Linked DNA regions of Drosophila melanogaster. The protein of the gene in region 3 interacts with the protein of the main gene of each other region in a pairwise test. Each region holds a gene or a part of one and is shown on either strand. Other genes may lie near its edges.

The links.
Region 1: the proteins of CG6357 (region 3) and CG10254 interact in a two-hybrid assay, tested with the Drosophila melanogaster proteins (one large-scale study listed by BioGRID).
Region 2: the proteins of CG6357 (region 3) and CG14332 interact in a two-hybrid assay, tested with the Drosophila melanogaster proteins (one large-scale study listed by BioGRID).
Region 4: the proteins of CG6357 (region 3) and Cpr78Cc interact in a two-hybrid assay, tested with the Drosophila melanogaster proteins (one large-scale study listed by BioGRID).

What each region holds. Positions count from the first base shown.
Region 1 is NT_033777.3:23,688,982-23,696,744, forward strand, and holds CG10254 (uncharacterized protein), read right to left. Parts: upstream 6,003-7,763; 5' UTR 5,972-6,002; intron 5,746-5,971; exon of another isoform or gene 5,545-5,745; 5' UTR 5,468-5,544; coding exon 5,042-5,467; exon of another isoform or gene 5,025-5,041; intron 4,881-5,024; coding exon 4,618-4,880; intron 4,559-4,617; coding exon 4,354-4,558; intron 4,167-4,353; coding exon 3,908-4,166; intron 3,832-3,907; coding exon 3,090-3,831; intron 3,032-3,089; coding exon 2,128-3,031; intron 2,065-2,127; coding exon 1,095-2,064; intron 1,030-1,094; coding exon 811-1,029; intron 757-810; coding exon 548-756; 3' UTR 26-547; downstream 1-25. Other genes in the region: CG10252 (uncharacterized protein), read right to left, coding at 6,300-6,564, 6,636-6,822, 6,883-7,101, 7,163-7,181; prt (portabella), read right to left, coding at 7,612-7,704.
Region 2 is NT_033777.3:17,421,140-17,424,153, reverse strand, and holds CG14332 (uncharacterized protein), read left to right. Parts: upstream 1-1,951; 5' UTR 1,952-1,977; coding exon 1,978-2,352; 3' UTR 2,353-2,464; downstream 2,465-3,014.
Region 3 is NT_033778.4:13,838,216-13,842,254, reverse strand, and holds CG6357 (uncharacterized protein), read right to left. Parts: upstream 2,203-4,039; 5' UTR 2,178-2,202; coding exon 1,950-2,177; intron 1,881-1,949; coding exon 1,611-1,880; intron 1,551-1,610; coding exon 1,281-1,550; intron 1,223-1,280; coding exon 938-1,222; intron 875-937; coding exon 608-874; 3' UTR 512-607; downstream 1-511. Other genes in the region: CtsL2 (cathepsin L2), read right to left, coding at 3,037-3,766.
Region 4 is NT_037436.4:21,298,881-21,301,681, reverse strand, and holds Cpr78Cc (cuticular protein 78Cc), read right to left. Parts: upstream 1,103-2,801; 5' UTR 1,062-1,102; coding exon 1,050-1,061; intron 980-1,049; coding exon 632-979; 3' UTR 511-631; downstream 1-510. Other genes in the region: CG43702 (uncharacterized protein), read right to left, coding at 2,672-2,801.

The DNA.
Region 1 (7,763 bases), on a different chromosome or scaffold from region 3:
TCATCGATTGGATAAAGCAGAAATTGGAGGCATAATAAATAAAATTGCTAGTTTATTCACATTTCTCGCATTGGCTAGCTTACAATATTACGTACATGGTGCTGATTGGACGTGGGATGGACTAACTAAGCTAGGTTCTAGTGGAATGCCTACAAATATTCGCGTAGGCCAGCGTTCACAATATTCGCAACAAAACATTAAATTTTATTTGTTAGCTGGCCTGATAACAACATAAAGTAAAACTCGCTGACATTACATGAGGCGGATTCCTTTAACAATTTATGCTTAGTTGCGCGCTATATATAATTCAGCTTTGTTTGTTGTTTTTTAAACTAATAACCAATAATCGTAGAAAATTTTGTTTAACTAAAAGGCTGTCTGCCAGCAATACGAGCGGATAGAAATTCGAGATTCGAGATAGGGGCTATAAAACGCTGACACTTGCCGAGGGCCAGATCAGACTCCCAAAACGCAGGCGGCAAAAGTCTTGTGGTTCTTCTGATAGGCACCATTTTCATAGGCATACGCTGGCCAGGATGAGTGGCAATCAGATCTCCTCCGGAGCAGCGCGCGGGGCAGTGCCAATTCCAGTCGCAATGCCATTACGTTCATCCGTAACCAGATTGGCACCCAAGGCAGTTAGCTCGCTTTGAAGTTGGCTCAAAACGCGCTTGACCGCTATGCAAAAGCCTCGACTGCATGGTAGCAGCGGGAATTCGGGTAGCTCGCAAGACGCCTTGTACTCCACAGGCATGTCTAAGAAAATGGATTATGAATAATCGAGCAAAACTGAGTTATTGGCTGACTCACCCTTGATTTTGGTTATATTTTGGCGCTGTGCCTCAAGAGAATACTCCGACCAGGCCCGCATGCGGGCATACAGCTCGGTGCCAAACTCCTTGAAGTGCTCAATAAGTTCATTGCGAAAGATGAGCGGCGGATTTGTCAACTGCTTCACCGTGGATTGGGCAATTTTTATGATGGCCATCTCGTTGTAGACACGAGAGTTCTCATTGCCCAGTTGGGTGCCTAAAAATAAATGGCGAAACCATTTTAAGTTCAGTCTATGGCATTGAATAGAAACAGCACTTTACCTCTTTGCTTTTCGTAGCCCGCCTCATTATAGTAGGGCTCATCGACCAGTATGAGTCCCTGTATGGAGACGAGCACCTGGAGCATGGTGCTGCTGGGCGACCAAACTTCGTTGTCGCGTCCCATCCATGTGCCAAGTAGCGACACACATACCCTGCCACCCTCGTACAAGTTTGGATTGAGACGATCCGTGCAGTAGCTGATGTAGTGGCACACCGGCGGGCTCTTCGGGTAATCGCGCCCAAATTGAAAGTCGAAAAAGAATAGAGCGTTCTGGTAGGGCGTGCGCTTGGGACCCACCATCATTACAGACATTAGGTCCATGCGATCCTCGTAGGCACGTACCACAACTCCGTTAGGTAGCGAGGACTTAAGCATAAGATATTCCCGCTGCACAGCTCGCTGATACTGCGCCTTGTTGGCCGGGGTAATCAGGTTGCTAATAAAATTATGTGCAGCTGGTGCATTGGGCAGCACTTGGAAACAATTCTCGTCCACGGAGGGCGTGTCTGGAATTATTGACCAAGATGGTGAGGAGCAGGCCATGGGACCTGTCTGGTCAATAGCCGGCAGTGACTCGGAAAGCGCGTTGAGATTCAATGGCTCTTCCATAGCTTCGTCCTCAGCCATTGTATTGCACTCGGTAGCACCATCATTGGCTAGTTCCGCTTCCTGGCTGACCGCCTCAATAGCTTCCTCTGCATCGCTAACATCCTCTTTCTCTTGCTTGGGATTGTCATTTGTCTTGCCCAACGTCACAGCGACCGTCTTGCGAATTCTGGCCATTTGAAACTTGATCAAATAACAGAAGACTTCGCAGACGTCAGCATCTCCACTTGCAACCAATTCAATTTCCAAATCATCCATTACATTTATTGTGGGATGCTTTATGTCCAACTTATTTTCGCTGTCTGGATGATTATTAGACTCGTCAGAGGTGATTTCACCGCGAGAGTGTACGCCAGAATCATTCTGGCAGCAAAGGATAAGTTGTAAAAAAAAAACAAAATTCTTTATTGTTTGAAGGACTCTTACCTTAGTACGATTTTCAATCGCTTTTGCAATGCTTCTACGTGCGTTGGCGAACATTTCGTTGTACTTGCAGCGATACTCCCTCACTAGCGGCGGATCTTCTATTACCTCTACTACCTCCACCTGGTAATCTTGCTCCTCCGAGATCTCATCCGTGCTCTTTTTGCATAGAACTTCATCCATCTCCGTAGAGGATTTTCGCTTAGTAGGACTTGATGATGACTGAACAGACGGATCCATTAAAACTGGTTCCAACTCAGCTTGGAGCGTTGATGACTCTTTGGGAACGGCGGCCGACGTCTCTGGGGTCTCTGGGGTTGCGCGCTCATGGGTGGCACTGTCAGAACAAACTTTAGAGGTAATAGGCTTGCAACGCACAATGCCTTTGAAATTAAACTCGTCGAAAAATTTAGTATTTAGCAAACGGTCTAAGGCCCGGCAATTTTTGTACACATCCAGCAGATCGTAAAGCACTTCCGCTTTCCGATTGGGATGTAAAACGCGGAACATCTTTTCTAGCACTTTCATTGCCTCTGTGGCTCTGTCAATGCCCGTAAGAATGTCGTCATCGTTGTCCGATGACGATATGTGGCTGTTTTCCGATTCCGTCTCCCACGAGTCTTCGGATCCATCTGATCCGTAGACATCTTGATCTTGTTCATTTTGTTCATCTTGTTCAAATGGTTGAAAGAGATCCTGAGGGTAGCACAATGTGATATGGCCCTTCGCCCACCAAACACGCACACGACCATTCGGGTAGTTGTCGATCACCTGACCAGCAGTAGAGTTAACATCCTCACCCGTGAAGTTTGACACTCGGATCACCACTGTGCCGGGTCGGTACTGGTAATCGGTGTGATCCTTCATGTCATAAACGCTCAGCTCCTCCAATCCTTTGAACAAAGGGCTAAACAAAATATATAGAATTATAATTTATATAGCTAAAAACAAAAAAGTGCACTCACATTGGATTATCAATATTCGTGTAGATATTGAACCACATGACCTTGGCTATGCGTGCATCATGGTCCACGCACTGAATTACCCCGTAGTCTGTGGCTCCCGTACTGATATCGTTGGCTTTGGTCACAAAATCACCGGGAAAGAATTCATGGTTGTCCAAATGATGAATAGGATAGAGCTGAGTGGAGTGAACGCCTGACTCCACCGTGCCATCCTGCCAGACGACCGTCACCGAGCTGTAAACGACCAGCGTTTCCACTACGATTTCATCGCCATCCTTGGGAGTGGTTTCCTTTTTATTAAAAGGCGAATAAATTGTTTTCTTGACAGAGCGGATTTTTTTCTTTACTTGTCGCCTCTTAGCAGATCGCATCGTTATTCTGGGAGCCTGGACTTCGACACCGGCTGCAGCTGTGGTAGCAGCGGACGGAGGCAGTGCGTCCTCAGCAACCTCCACTTCTTTTTCGGCAGTCATCGATTGATCAAGTGGCTGCATGAACTCCTCGAACTCATCCTCATCCTCCGATGTCAACACATCCTCTTTGCTGCGCTTAGACGACTTGCAAGCATTGTGAGTCTGGTCGCTTGGCGGTCGAGGCAGTCGCATACCGCTGATTTTATTGGGCATGCGGCGGAACTTTGGTACACTGCGAGCATTTCCACTAGTGGAAGCAGATGCGTTCAATTTGCTGGCCTTGCGCTGCATTTTTTTCTGGGCGTGAAAAATGGGGATGTACTTCTCCGCTGTAATACGTGAAATACAATATATATATATATAATTTATTGTTACCTCTAAACCTATTTCCTGTTAACATCCTACCTTGTTCATTTTCCCAGTCGGCATATTTAACTAATAGATCACATTTTGAATATTTGAGGTAGAATCGATCGTGAATTTGCAGCTCGTAGGACTCATAGAGGCTAAGGCGCTTGACTTTGTGCAGTTCCTCACCCTTGATCAAGGACCTTGGCTCCTTTAGAGGATCGCTGTCTGTGTCATCGCTGCCCGTGGCATTTCCGATTGCACGGCAGGACCAATCCACATTAATTGATGTAGTTTCTACAGACTCCACGGTGTACTGGATAAATAAGGTTATTTTCAATTAGCGATAGTATGGGAGGGCCTTCTTTAGTTAAGTAAAAATGTAATTAATCTACTATGACAAATCAAACTAGGGCGAATGCTACATAAAATAATAGCGTAACTAGTATATACAATCGGTCAATCTGAGACTACAAATCTATAAAGGATTAATATCTCCCTACCACAGCACGACCCTTGCGAGTTAAGGGATGGGTAATCTCCGGGGTCAGATTCTTGACACGATCCGGGGGCGGCATGCGACCGATTACAATGTTTCCTGGAAAGAAGACATTCGGATTGAAGACCGTGCGATCGCATTCGGACACAGCATCCTTAAACTTGTGGAAATCGTTGGAGGTGATTTCCACACGGGCACCGTTGGATGATCTGCAAAAAAATATTGAAAATAATGTTCGCCCGAGTTGATTGAGAGATATGAAACATACTTGAGCACAGCGCACTCATTAATGTCTATGATGGTGCCTATCCAGGTGTCCATGCAGAGAGGCACATATTGGTTCCACTCGGATATCGGACGCAGTCGCTCGGCGGGCACATTTTTAATGACCATTCTGGAGCCCATTACCATAACATCGGCGCGTACATTGACATCCCGCACGTAGCCCGCCTGGCCAGCCAAAACGTTTTCTCCTGGCAGACGCCTCCGCACCACATCGCCTGGCATTAGGGTGCGATCCGCCAGACCAATCTGTGTATATGCCACATGTTCGGATGTCGATGGAACAAAAGAAAAGAAGCAAACAAACACGTGTCAAAAGAACTTGAAGAGCAAACTCAAAACAGTTGTGAAAACAGTTATTTTTTTGGAGAGACCGTGAGACTTACATAACCTCAATGGAGTTTACTCACCGACTGTTCCGTCATCACCATCTCCTTGCCACCCGGATAGAAGGCCACACGCACCTCGCCCCTGGACAGCGAATCGACATCTTCCTCTTCGGAGGAGGAATAGGTCTCGGTCGTTGCGGTTACCAAGCCAAAATGGACGCGACCGCGCCGATCAATGCGAAAAACCCCATCCTCTAAGAAGAACTGGGACTCGGTGTTACCCTGGGCTTTCGATGGCACCTGGCCACCACCCGATCGACGGGAGTGGGAATTTGCGTTATGGCGGCTCTCCTGGTTGGGGGTCCGACCCAGCTCCTGTGAGGATGGAGGAGGATTCGCAAGCGTCGGTGTACGCGGAGCAGCCTCCGCCAAAGACTGTTCCTGCTCCTGCTGCGGTTGACCTGGTGTACCACCTGGAGCGGCCGCACCCGCCACATCGCTCATCATGTTACCAATCGTAAGCTGGGAACATGGACGGCAAGAACTTTGCCGTGGCGAATGCTCGGTGAATATATTTCTTCTCCCTTTATTGGCCACTAATTATTACAAATTCCTATAATATGCCCGACGAGCCACTGACACACAAACACACATCTAATTTACGGACACTGGAGCAAACTATAAATTTGCTTGGACAATTTCGCCAACTTCTTTCGAAAAACTATAAATAAAACAGGCAAAATCTACAAACAAAACGAGAAACTTTGATAAAAAGAATTTTGTGACTGAAAAATACCGGAGTTAGATAAAATCAATGGTTCCGAGTTCCAGTGCCTTTAAGCGAGCACTCGAACCATTATCTTGATAACAGCGCTCTGTTAAGAGAAAACAACGGTTGAAACAAGATGAGCATTTGCCCGCGAAATTGAAATGGGATAGTCTAAATACAAATTCAGTTACTCTCAATTCCGTAAAATAGTAACGCGTGTTGTTGTCTGCCTAAAAACTCACCGTTACGTTGATATAATAATGTAAATGTAAATGTGCTTTTTCCAAAAATTTCTATTATCAAATGTTAATTTGACACATCGTTCAGGGACTACTTGTATTTTAGACATGTACAGAGCCAAGTGTATCACATCATAGGCGCACTAGCATCAAAATGCTCCCTTCCTTTTCCAATAAAGGTAACGCTCATTGCGTTCTACCAAGTTAAAACAAATTCAATCTCATTTTAATACCCCGTTAAGCATTTTCCATAAACAATGAAACTTGGTTTAAAAAGAATTGTTTATTCACAAAAATTTTAGCATATATTTCTTCCAATATTGCACTTGGTCTACATATTGTCACATCTAACTATCATAGGCGGAGCGAACTGGTGGTGGCGCACACCAAAGGAGTAGCCCGGTCCACTCTTGCCAGGACGATAGTACATGAGGTCGTAGTAGTTGGGTCCAGGTCCGACATTCTCGCCCGGAATAGTGGTGCGCGGCTGCATCGAGTATATCGGAGCACGTGTCAGTTTGACATTGATATCACCACCGCCATATGCAGCCGGACCCGGAGAATTCGTCTTGTTCAAAATCTTTGTTTGTAGTCCCCTGAGATACAGGTACAAATAAAAATAGGCAACTTAGTAAAGGAATAACTATGGTAGGATTGAAATACGCACATGCTATAGCTCGGGACTCCAGGACGAACGGCATTGACCTCGTACTTGTAGGCATTGGGACCGGGACCATCCTTCTTGAAGTTAAAGTCCGTTCGTAGGCCCATCGAATACGAAGGAGCATTAACCCCCTTAAAGAATGGCCTATTATGAACATCGTGTGCTCCCGGACCGGGACTGCTTCGCTTATCTACGATTAAGCAATTTAACCAAAAACGTTCTTGTCTTCAGTACTAATAAGTTATCTTACCGATGACATTGGTTCTGGGCGCCATCGAGAACTCCAAACCCTTGCTCGTGCCATAGCGAGTCAACTTGTCCACCTTGTAGGCCCCTGGACCAGGACCCAGATCCTCACCAGGAGCACGGGTGCGCATGCCGAAAGAGTACTGCGGCAACCGCTGTTTGCGGTTGTCATGCTTATCATAGCCCACAGTGGGGGGCAGCATGTAAACGCCGGGTCCAGGGCCTACAAAAAGCATGTATAATATATTATTTACCACATTACAATTTTATGAATTCTCACTCACCAAAAGGTCGCACCGCCATTTTTGTTAGTTTTGTGCAATATTAGAAAGAAAATCTATTTTGAAAATTTAGAACCCAATATTAGGTGTTGGCCGAACAGATTCCAGTAGCAGAATGAGGCTTTCATAGAACTTCACATCGCAGCTCCATTCGAAGTCAGAGCCATAGCACACTTGTTATAGAAAAGTTTTACCACCGTAATTCCTTCACACATAACCCATTCAAATATTAATTACGTAATTCTTTTTATTCCGAAAATTTGATCATAATAACCTAAGTTACTTCAAGACATGGCAAAGTGATTTTAATAATAGGAGATTCGAATTTTATCGGAAAAATAAATTGTTTACGAAAATCAGCTCCAGATATATTGCTTTATTGAGCCAAAGGAACGCCTTATTTGCACACTCAAGGTTGTTTGCTATTTTGCTGGACAACTGGGCAGTACAGCTTATTCCACATCCATGGAGTTGTAAAGTTGTTTATACCTAGATCCCCGCCCGCTGCTTTGGAGCAGCATATCATTATGCTGTTCCCTAAGGGCCTGTTAAAAAAAAAAACACATATAAATAGTGACGGCTTAATCGAAAAATATAAAAAATG
Region 2 (3,014 bases), on a different chromosome or scaffold from region 3:
CAGTTGACGTTGTTGTATGAGCATTTAATGCCGAAATTTTGTATTATCGGCCCGGTTTGACTGCCTTGAGTCCGGCTGACTGCTTTTTCTCTATTTAATATTATGAGACTTTTTTTCGTGGCTTTTTGCTATTTAAACATGCTAGTAATTTTTAATGGCGTGTGACATTTTTGTTTACGCACAGTCTCAATGTAGAGCAAAACATTAGCATGTCGCCGGTATTAGTTTACCAATTTTCTTGCTGCCATTGAGGCATTTGACGGTGTCTTAATTGATATTTATCGCTGGACGATTGCCATGTTCATCATAATAGAGTCGTGTAGCCGACAAAAAGCTCATTACTTTAGCTGACTGGTGGCTGCATGGTAAACGCGCCTACAATTTGGCCATTTGATTAGCCTCACCTCGTCATGGTCGCCGGGGCCCCAAATGGCCGATCCAATACGGCACATAAAATCCAATTTAATTAAGTTGGACTCTCGGATTGAGACGCAGTCGGAGGATCGAGACTCAGATGGAGGCCCACAAAATCACAAAGTAGCAGCTGCCGTGGCAGACAACCTTGCCAACATTCTTAACGTGTTCAAGATTTTTACCAACGCACTGCATTTAGGTTTGTTGTTGTCGCGTTCACTTTTCAAATGCTTACGAAATGTCAATATTCGGCACAAAGTTATTTGTTATTTGATCGGATCGATTGAGCAATTGTTGATATACAATTTTTCTGTGTTTGTTCTTTTTGTCTAACGGTTTCTCATTGATTTGTTAGCTAATTGTATACGAAAAATGTAATTAAAATTAAAACGAGTAACTGGAAACCACAACGCTCGCATGTTAGCTTGACAAACGAAAAATAGGTAAATAAAAAATGTTAACACCTAGATCGCACAGCTGGCGACAACGGTGCGAATGAGTCATATTGCACCAGAGTAGAGTTTCAATTAGTTGCAAATTACGTGCCTAAAGCTAAGAACCAAACCTAAAAAATGTTATGCCGAGTAATTATAAAATATTTGGTATTAAAAGCATACTTGAACACATATGAGTGATACACCCAAAAATGGTTCACACACTTGTGTTTACTTTCTAAATTTCAGAAATCGCAAAATGATTTTACGTAATTTACGTAATTCAATGTTGCCACCATGACATTTCATTTTTACCATTTTTTCATTATTATTGCCCACCTATCAAACCTCAATTGGGTTTGCAATTTTTTAAACAATCGTAAGCCTAATTTGCTTTCATTGTTATGGATAATAAACGGACCCTGAGCTATATATGGCAAGGTTAACCATTATTTTGGGTCTCCATCACTTGAGCCTATATTTTCAAAACTATTTTCGCAAATGCCTTACTTCCTGGCAACCGCGATCATCGCGGGTGTTTCTTTTTTGGCTTACCAATTGGCCGGCTTAATCAAGCCTTCTATATGCCAATTAAATCCATGGCTGCTAGTAATGTTAGTTAGACCATAATTTTATGAAAAAGAGCCTTCTATGTCTTGCTAGTCATGTTTTATGCATAAATTGATTTAAGAGTTGAAAATGCGTCTGCGCATGTAGTATATATCTCTGGTTTTTTCTATGAAATTTTGTGTTCAGCTACATATAACAACGCTTGCTAAGGTATGTGCTTCTAACTTGAATTCATATTTACTCATTCATATTTTTTATATGAATAATAGCAGGTGGTTGTTGAACTCTTTCATTCTGATTTATCATCTGCTAAACACTGAAATTACAAAACTGGATCATTGGAGTATATTACAGATAAAATCTGACCTCAGTTTCTCCATTACAACATTATCAAAATTGTCATATAATTTAATTTTTAACATAATATGTACCTTTAACTGCATTCATGTTTTTTTTAAGTACTCAGGTATCTGCTATAAAAGGAGTAATTCCTTTTAAGCCAAGTATCAGTTGCTTCCTACTCTACATTCAAGCACACAATTAAAAGACCTATTTCAAAATGGCACTCTATTATATTTTGGTGATCAGTGTCCTGCTTGTCCTCGCCCAAGGATCGTATTTGTCGTCGGTGAATCAGGAATCCGGGGTGGGAGTGCATCAGTCTGGAGCTATTTCATCTAGAGCTCCAGCTGCCGGAATAACCCGTGGCTACTCCGCTGCCCCTCAGACCCAACGACCCATCTCTGGATATGGATCCCTCTCTGGTCCTGTTGGAGGATCCCGTCGAGTGCCCGTAGTTGGAGTGACCGGATCTCGTCCTCGTGGTGGAGCTCCGCGTAGTCCGTCTGCTGGAGCTCATGGACGTCCAAATGTAGGTGGATCTGCCCATGGAAATTCCTACCAGAATCGCCAACGCAGCCAAAAGCCTTATTAAGAAACAGAACTTATCATCAGCAAATGACCAAACCTAGATCTACATCCTTATTGTCACATTCTTATTCTACTCTCAAACCTTTTTCTATCGCAAATAATAACAAATGTTACATAAAAACGAAACTTGATTAAGATTATTTTACAATGGCAGGGATAAGATTGAGCATTGGGGAATATTCATTTCATAGGCATTACCTAGTACTTAATCCTTAGCAACAATGTCACCTTTAATGAACTGGTTAATACGCCAATTTCAGCTTTAGCGACAAGTTACGCACTCAATTGGCTGCACTTCATGATTTAAACATTTCTTGAATAGTTGCCCAAAGCGAGTAGCCATTTAAGCTGGGAATATGAATTCGATTTTCAAACCATTTAAAGTTACCAATTTGTTGATATTCGGCTATGTTAAGACGCTGATTCTTGAATCATTAAAATAAGCCAGAGTGCTAAAATAAACAATAAACTAAAGCGCATAAGCACATAAAGCACATATATATACATATGTAGGTTTTAGTACATCTTATTTCGTGCATAACTCTTTAATCATACATGTTTTTTTTTAAATAAATTTTTTATTTTATACATCCTACGATTCTAACTGCTTTACATTTTTTTTTTTTGTAATAAATCTGTATGTTTTTACTGACATTCAAAAATTAA
Region 3 (4,039 bases):
CCAACAATACCCATTATGCATTGTAAAGAAGCGGTGTGTTGTCCACTTCGATGTACTCAGATATCAATGAATGTAAACATATTGATTACATAAAAACGTTCACTTAGTGCAGCAACTTGCGATAACCTACAAATGTATTTGTTAAATTAAATACTATATACATATATATTATATATATTTACGGATTGTATGTGTAATACGAATAATGCGCCCTGTTAAATGCAACAAGGAGATAGGGATCTCAGCAAATATACAAGTATAAATTAATCATTTAGAGTTCGTGTGCGTTATAAAACAAAAAGGTAGTGAAAGAAACATAAAACAAAATTTACTCATTTAAAACTTAATGATCGATTTAAATAGCGAACCCAGCCATAAAATCGGCTTGAACATTTGCGAAACACTATTGTAATAGATAAACTCCTCAAGCAAGATTCTCAACTGGACAGCCCCTCAAGAAATAATAATAAATACATATTTTTAAAAATTAACCCAAAATCACTAAGGTATTCTCTTTGCGTTAGTAGCAATATTTTTGCGTGTATTTAAAAGGTGACAAACATTTCATCTGAAAATGTACTCGGTACAATATCTTATCATCTAGTTTTTAAAAAACATTTTTTTTGTATTTCTTCTCCTTGCTTATTTTTGTAGTCGTTTCTTCTTTTGAAAACTCTGGAGCTAAATTAGGTCGTTGTTTGGTTTTCCACTCTTCTACAGTTAGATCACTCCACTGATTTATGCCCTTCTTGAAAGATTCCACTCCCAATTCGAACTGCTCATTGTGTTCCTGAATCGCTTTCCAATTGTCGCAAAATATAGTTCGGCGTTTTTCTGTTTCTTTTTCATCTTGATATTTCGCACCGAAATCAATCTGTAATAAAGATATATTCATTCAAATTCTCAAATTCTATTTACATTGCAAGCCAAATATTACCAAAAACTTTTTCCATGCTGCCTGACATGTATTATCATCCCTCTTATCCTTAGATATTTTTGTAGTAGCTTCAACTTTAGAAAACTCTGGATTAAAAGCAGGTCGTTGTTTGTTTTTCCACTCCTCAACGGTCAAATCACTCCACTGATTTATACCCTTCTTAAAAGAAATATTTCCCAAATCGAATTGAACATTGTGCTTATGTATCGACTTAAAGTTGTCGCAAAATACATTTCGTCGCTTTTCGGTTTCAGTATCATCTTGATAAGACGGCTTAAAGTCAATCTGCAATTGATAAAAGCAACTTTAATAAAAATTCTTTAAATACCCAACCATATCTTACCAGGAACTTCTCCCAAGCCGGCTGGCATATGATATTATCATTATCTATTTCGGATGTAGATGTAGTGGCTTCTTCCTTACGAATCTCGGGAGCAGGACTAGATCGTTCCTCAATAGTATGATCAGTCCACTGATTTATGTCCCTCTTGAAGGGCTCTGCCCACTTTTCATACTGCACATTGTGCTCCACAATCGCCCTCCAGTTTGCACAAAATACATTGCGGCGTTTCTCGGTTTCATTTGCATTCTTATACTGCGCTCCAAAGTCAATCTGTAATTCATATCATACATATTAATACCAAGTTGGTTTTAATAACCTAGCTAATCTTACCAAAAACTTTTCCCATGCAGCCTGGCAATTGACTTTGTCTCGCTCCTCCTTTGATGATTCACTAGCGATTTCTGGCATAACTTTGGGAGTTTGTTTCTCTTTCCACTCTTCAAAGGTAAGATCACTCCACTGGTTGATACCCTTCTTGAAGCTGACAACTCCCAAATCGTATTTCAAATTGTGATCGCGAACTTTTTGCCAATTTTCGCAGAATATATCACGTCGCTTTTGCCGTTCGTAGTCATTATCGTAGTGTACATCAAAGTCGACCTTGGAGTGTATACAAATAACTTCCTTGAACGATACCCTTTCTTGGAATTATGCGATCAAAAAACTTACCAAGAACCTTTGCCATGCAAACTGGCATTCCTCCTCGAACTCAGATAAGCCAGAGGTGTGTTCAATTGTGGGTGTCGATGAGTCAGCGTCGCTTTTCCCAGTAGTAACCCCAATCTCTGGATTGATTTTTTGTGTAGCAGGTGATGATGTGCTTACTGGTACGCCCAGAGCCACGCCCATCAAATACAGGAGCAGTGGGACGCCAAGTAAAATTCGAGCTGAGGTCATCTTGAACACTTTTCTCGTACTGCGCTCCGCACTGCCAGAATCGCGAATTATATGGGGAATACATACATATATAATTGCAAGTACTCAAAATCAGCTGCATTCAGAGAGAAATCTAAATAAAAACCGACAACGAGAGCGATTTCTTTTGCTCTCTTTTCTCTTAAGTGTTGATCTTTTAAAAGAGTAACTGCATTTACGTGACCTTGCCCACCAAATATATAACAACTGGCATAATTGCTTTATGATTTGTTGCAATAGTATTGAATTAAATTAATTTGAAATTTAAGCCCCGTTTTTATACCCATTACTCGGCGGGAATACTAGGCTCGTTGATAGGAATGTAACAACTACATTCTAGATATGTATGTGTTTTCCACACAAATGCTGTAAACAAACGTTACGCTGCTTGCAGCTTTTTCTGATTAACGGGTATGCATTAGTCGTGACACCCGACTGTAGCGTTATTTCTTGTTTATATTAAATTTGTCGCAAATTTACACGGTTATACGGTTATGTGTGCATTGTTCATTTTCTATCCACTTTGCCAAATTGAAATTTATTACTTTCTCAAACAACTTCCCACACAGCGTTGTTCTTCATTAAGAAAATGTTTCTCAAAAAATAAATAAGACCGAAAATTAATTTTTGTGTGCATAGCCGTTAAGACTACGATCCAATTTCTCAGAATTTCCCCAGAAAGCAACACAAACCGATAAGGCACTTGTTTCATTTATTAACCGCGTGACTCATGGAATCGATGTGGTGACCCACACAGCTTACGACTACAGTAACAAAGTTATAAATTCGTGGTTTTTAATTGACTATACTATCTAACTAATTGCATGGCGCAGTTGTGAGCCTACAGAATGGGGTAGCTGCACTCGCTGGCGATGCCGCAGAATCCACCTGCATTCCGGAGGATGCGCATAAAGCCGCCCTCGCCCCAATTCTGAGAGTACGAGTTCTTGATGATCCAGTAGTCGCGTCCATTTTCCGTTCCATAGCCCACCACGGTTACCGAGTGATTCAGTTCGCCCTGATTGCACTCCTCGTCCTCGTAGATGCCACCGCTGTACTGCTCAAACGAAATGGTGTCCGCGTTCATGGAGCACGCCAACGGTCCCAACGTGGCAATCACCTCCTTCATCTTCTCCTCATCCCCGGGAGTAATGGTGGCATAATCGCGAATTTTCACCAGACTCTCGCGCGGTGGACGTCCGGCGGTTTCGTTCTGACGGCACTGCATCTCCGTCTGTGTGTACGGATATTTGTTGGCCAGCGTTACACCGTGATCGCGTATGTACTCGAAACCGTACTCCTGGAAGCCACCGTCACAGCCCATGTTGCCGTAGTCATCGGCACAGTCCACCAGATTCTGCTGCGACAGCGAGGCCAGCACTCCAGTCCGCCGGAATAGATGTCCTTCGAGCGCTCCTGTGGTGGCGAACGACCAGCAGGCACCGCATCCCACACCCTGGAATCCCGGTGGCGTCACTCCGCCCTTCTCGCGCCAATCGAACATCTCGGGAAGATTGGCACTCGCCGGATTCCTGGCAGTCACAAAGTTGATATGGCCATTCGTATATCTCCTGCAAGGTAAGTAAAACATTTTAGTATTCCGTTAAGCAAAGATTAAAGCAAATTAGTAGCTTACTTAAGTGGCAACCAGACTACATTTAAATGTTATTCATAATGTTCTTAAATGTATGACAAACAACCGATAAGTTATGAAACATTTGTTATGGAGCTTCGTCGTAATAAATAAGTTCGATATGGAAGGGTTTTGTTTGTTTCCACCCATTTGGTTATAGTTTTCGGGAAACCACAAACCTATGGTCGGAATATTTGATCAATTCTGATTT
Region 4 (2,801 bases), on a different chromosome or scaffold from region 3:
TGGTTAGTTCCTGGGTCTGGTTTGCAGTGTGATAAATGATTTTGGACAGCAGTTTAATTTGTCTTAATATGGTAACACATTTCAAACACAAGATTATTGATTTAATTATGAAAAGCATTTGGAAACAGTATGTGCTAATGTTCCTGACTCAGATTCAAGATTGATGAATGAATGAACCGATATTGGAGGCGTACTTTAAAACGTTATGAAAAATCAGGTTAAAATAAAGTATTTTGACACAATCTGACATCTATTTCAAGTTCCTTCATTTGCATCTGTGATTAAATAACCTTACCCCAAAAGAAATATCAGCTCAAAAGTGTGACCTTCCAAAAACAACTAAGATATTATAATATAATTTGTATGCAATTTGGGGTTAAAAATTATGGATTCAAAAACAGACGCTGGGAAGTTTAAGTTTGCAATTTGGTACAGCTAGTTTTTGCCGATTTGTATAATGAAAACATACTTGACTCTGTTCAAATGATCAGCATGGCTGTGGGTATATTTGATGTAACTATTTATGTTTTTATTTTTTGGGGGATTTATGTACAGACTTTCTAGAACTAGATATAACTCATGTTTAGCAAAAGCACTGACTAGGCTTTGAATGGGGTATCCAATCGGGGATTTAGGGCTGTGGAGGGTGGGCGGCGATGTATTCCAGGGCGCGGAGGATGGCCTCCGGGATTGGGGGAGCGGTGGGAAGGTGATCGCCCTGAGGCTGGAAGCCGTTTTCATCGGCGACGTAGGTCAGTGAGATGGGGACGCCTTCGGGGGAGATGTAAGAGCTGCTTCCGCTAATGCCATTGACGTTTCCGGCCTCCTGGGCCTGAATACCATTGCTGGTCTCGAAGGCGTATTGGTAGTTGCCCTCGGCGTCGGCAGGATTAACATCCTCGCGGGTGATCACGGCATCCTTGTTTATGTTGTCCGCATACACATTGGCCAGCATCAGAGCGGCGAGCAGGCAGAGCGACTGAAATGGTTACACACGTTCACGTTCTGATTTTGAATCCGGATCCTTCCGGGCGGCTAAGTCTACTCACTAGCTTAAACATCTTGCTGGTTTCTTGGCTTGTATAATCCTCACTGGTTGGGTGATCTTCGCAGGCGGTGGCTTTTATAGGCAGCCAACGGCAACGCCGACTTTGGCGTTGGCGTCGCCATCGCTGACGTCTCTAATCTGGCTCTGAACTCCAAACGCCGCTCCAAACTAAATATCAAACTTAATACGTTTGTCGTTTTTTTTTTTCGGCAGCAGCATACCGATCGAATTGAATAAAATTCAGCTCAGCAGCTAGTAAAAAAATGGAAAGGAGATCTGAATTTCAGCACCGCAGTGCGAAATACCCTTGCCAGATATTGCTAAGTTTACCTAGAAATCATAGGCATTTGGCTTAGCTTAGTTTAATTATCTGCCTAGCAATTTTCGTCTTAATCGGAAACTATTTTCTTTTTGATTAATCGGGCTTGTGGGCTCACTTCTTTGAGAGCTATTATTTCGTTTTTTTTTTCTTATAGAAGAACAAACAAGGGATTATAGTTTTAAATTTTCCTTAAATAAAGCACAAATTAGCATGCATGGTCATTTAAAATTAAGTGTATTGTGGTAATTCTGTAGAAGTTGGGTAATTCAATGACTAAACTGGCTTGTGTCTTCTTTTTTCAATATAAGACTTTGAACTACACGGCCTCTAAAAGGGGTGTGGCTTATGATACTTATCTTGAAACATTTGCATTTCGAAAACAAATTCAAATATTTATACAATATACTTATCTTACCAATCTCAAAAAAGCAAACCTCTGATCCAAATAATATCAGCCTTAGCTAGAGTATAATGAAGCACCTGAACCCATTCCAAGTGGTTTCTGCCGATGGATCAACACGCTTCTGCCTTGGTAGCGGTAATCATTTGACTTTGCACTTAATGGCCAATAGTAGTTTTGGTTAGCTTTTGGGGGCTTGGAGTTATGTCGACGGTAATGGAACATGTGACTGTGACATTCGCCCGTGGATGGTAAGTTTAGAGATGGACCTGGATTTGGATTTGGATTTGGAAGGGGGCAGCAGCTCGTGGCGAGCTAATTTAATTCCATCCAATCCAATTTATCATTCGTTTCGATTTCATTATCATTGGCCATTTGGCTTGCTATGAGCGCAGGCGGACAACCTGTTTGCTCATCAAGGAATTCTTAAATTCCCCAAAAAAAAAAAACAGCAAGTTCAGCTTATTAGCATACAAATTCGCTGTCCAGTAATAAATTGTATTCTAGGCCTATTCGCACTTAGCACTCCGCCTAATAAAATGCCCATCAATCGACGCTCCACCCGATCTGGCAAACTAGTTCAGCCGGCCCACCAGCATCCAAGCCCTATCCGAAATCTATGACGTATTGGACAGATGGCTACATTCTCTCAAATCTGAATTGCTAAATTATTAAAATTCAAATACACAAATTCTCAGATCATTTCGACGTCTGCTTACCGAATATCACGAGATATTAAACAGCATTTCTATAACGGTTTTAAGCAACTTTTTGATCTATATTTGCATTTGTATTTTTATTTTTATAAACTTAAATACAAATTAGACTCGTTGAAATAAATCTGGTTTCCAATTATGGCAGAACTGCACAGACACACACACACACTCTCAATCATTCTATGTCAGTGCAAAGTTTCGGTATAGAAGCCGTACTTATCCACGTGATAAAACACCCGTATGTATCCTCCCTCGGGCAGGTCAAAGTGGAAGTACCCAGGTATTTCACTGTCCAGAATCTGCACCTCTGAATTG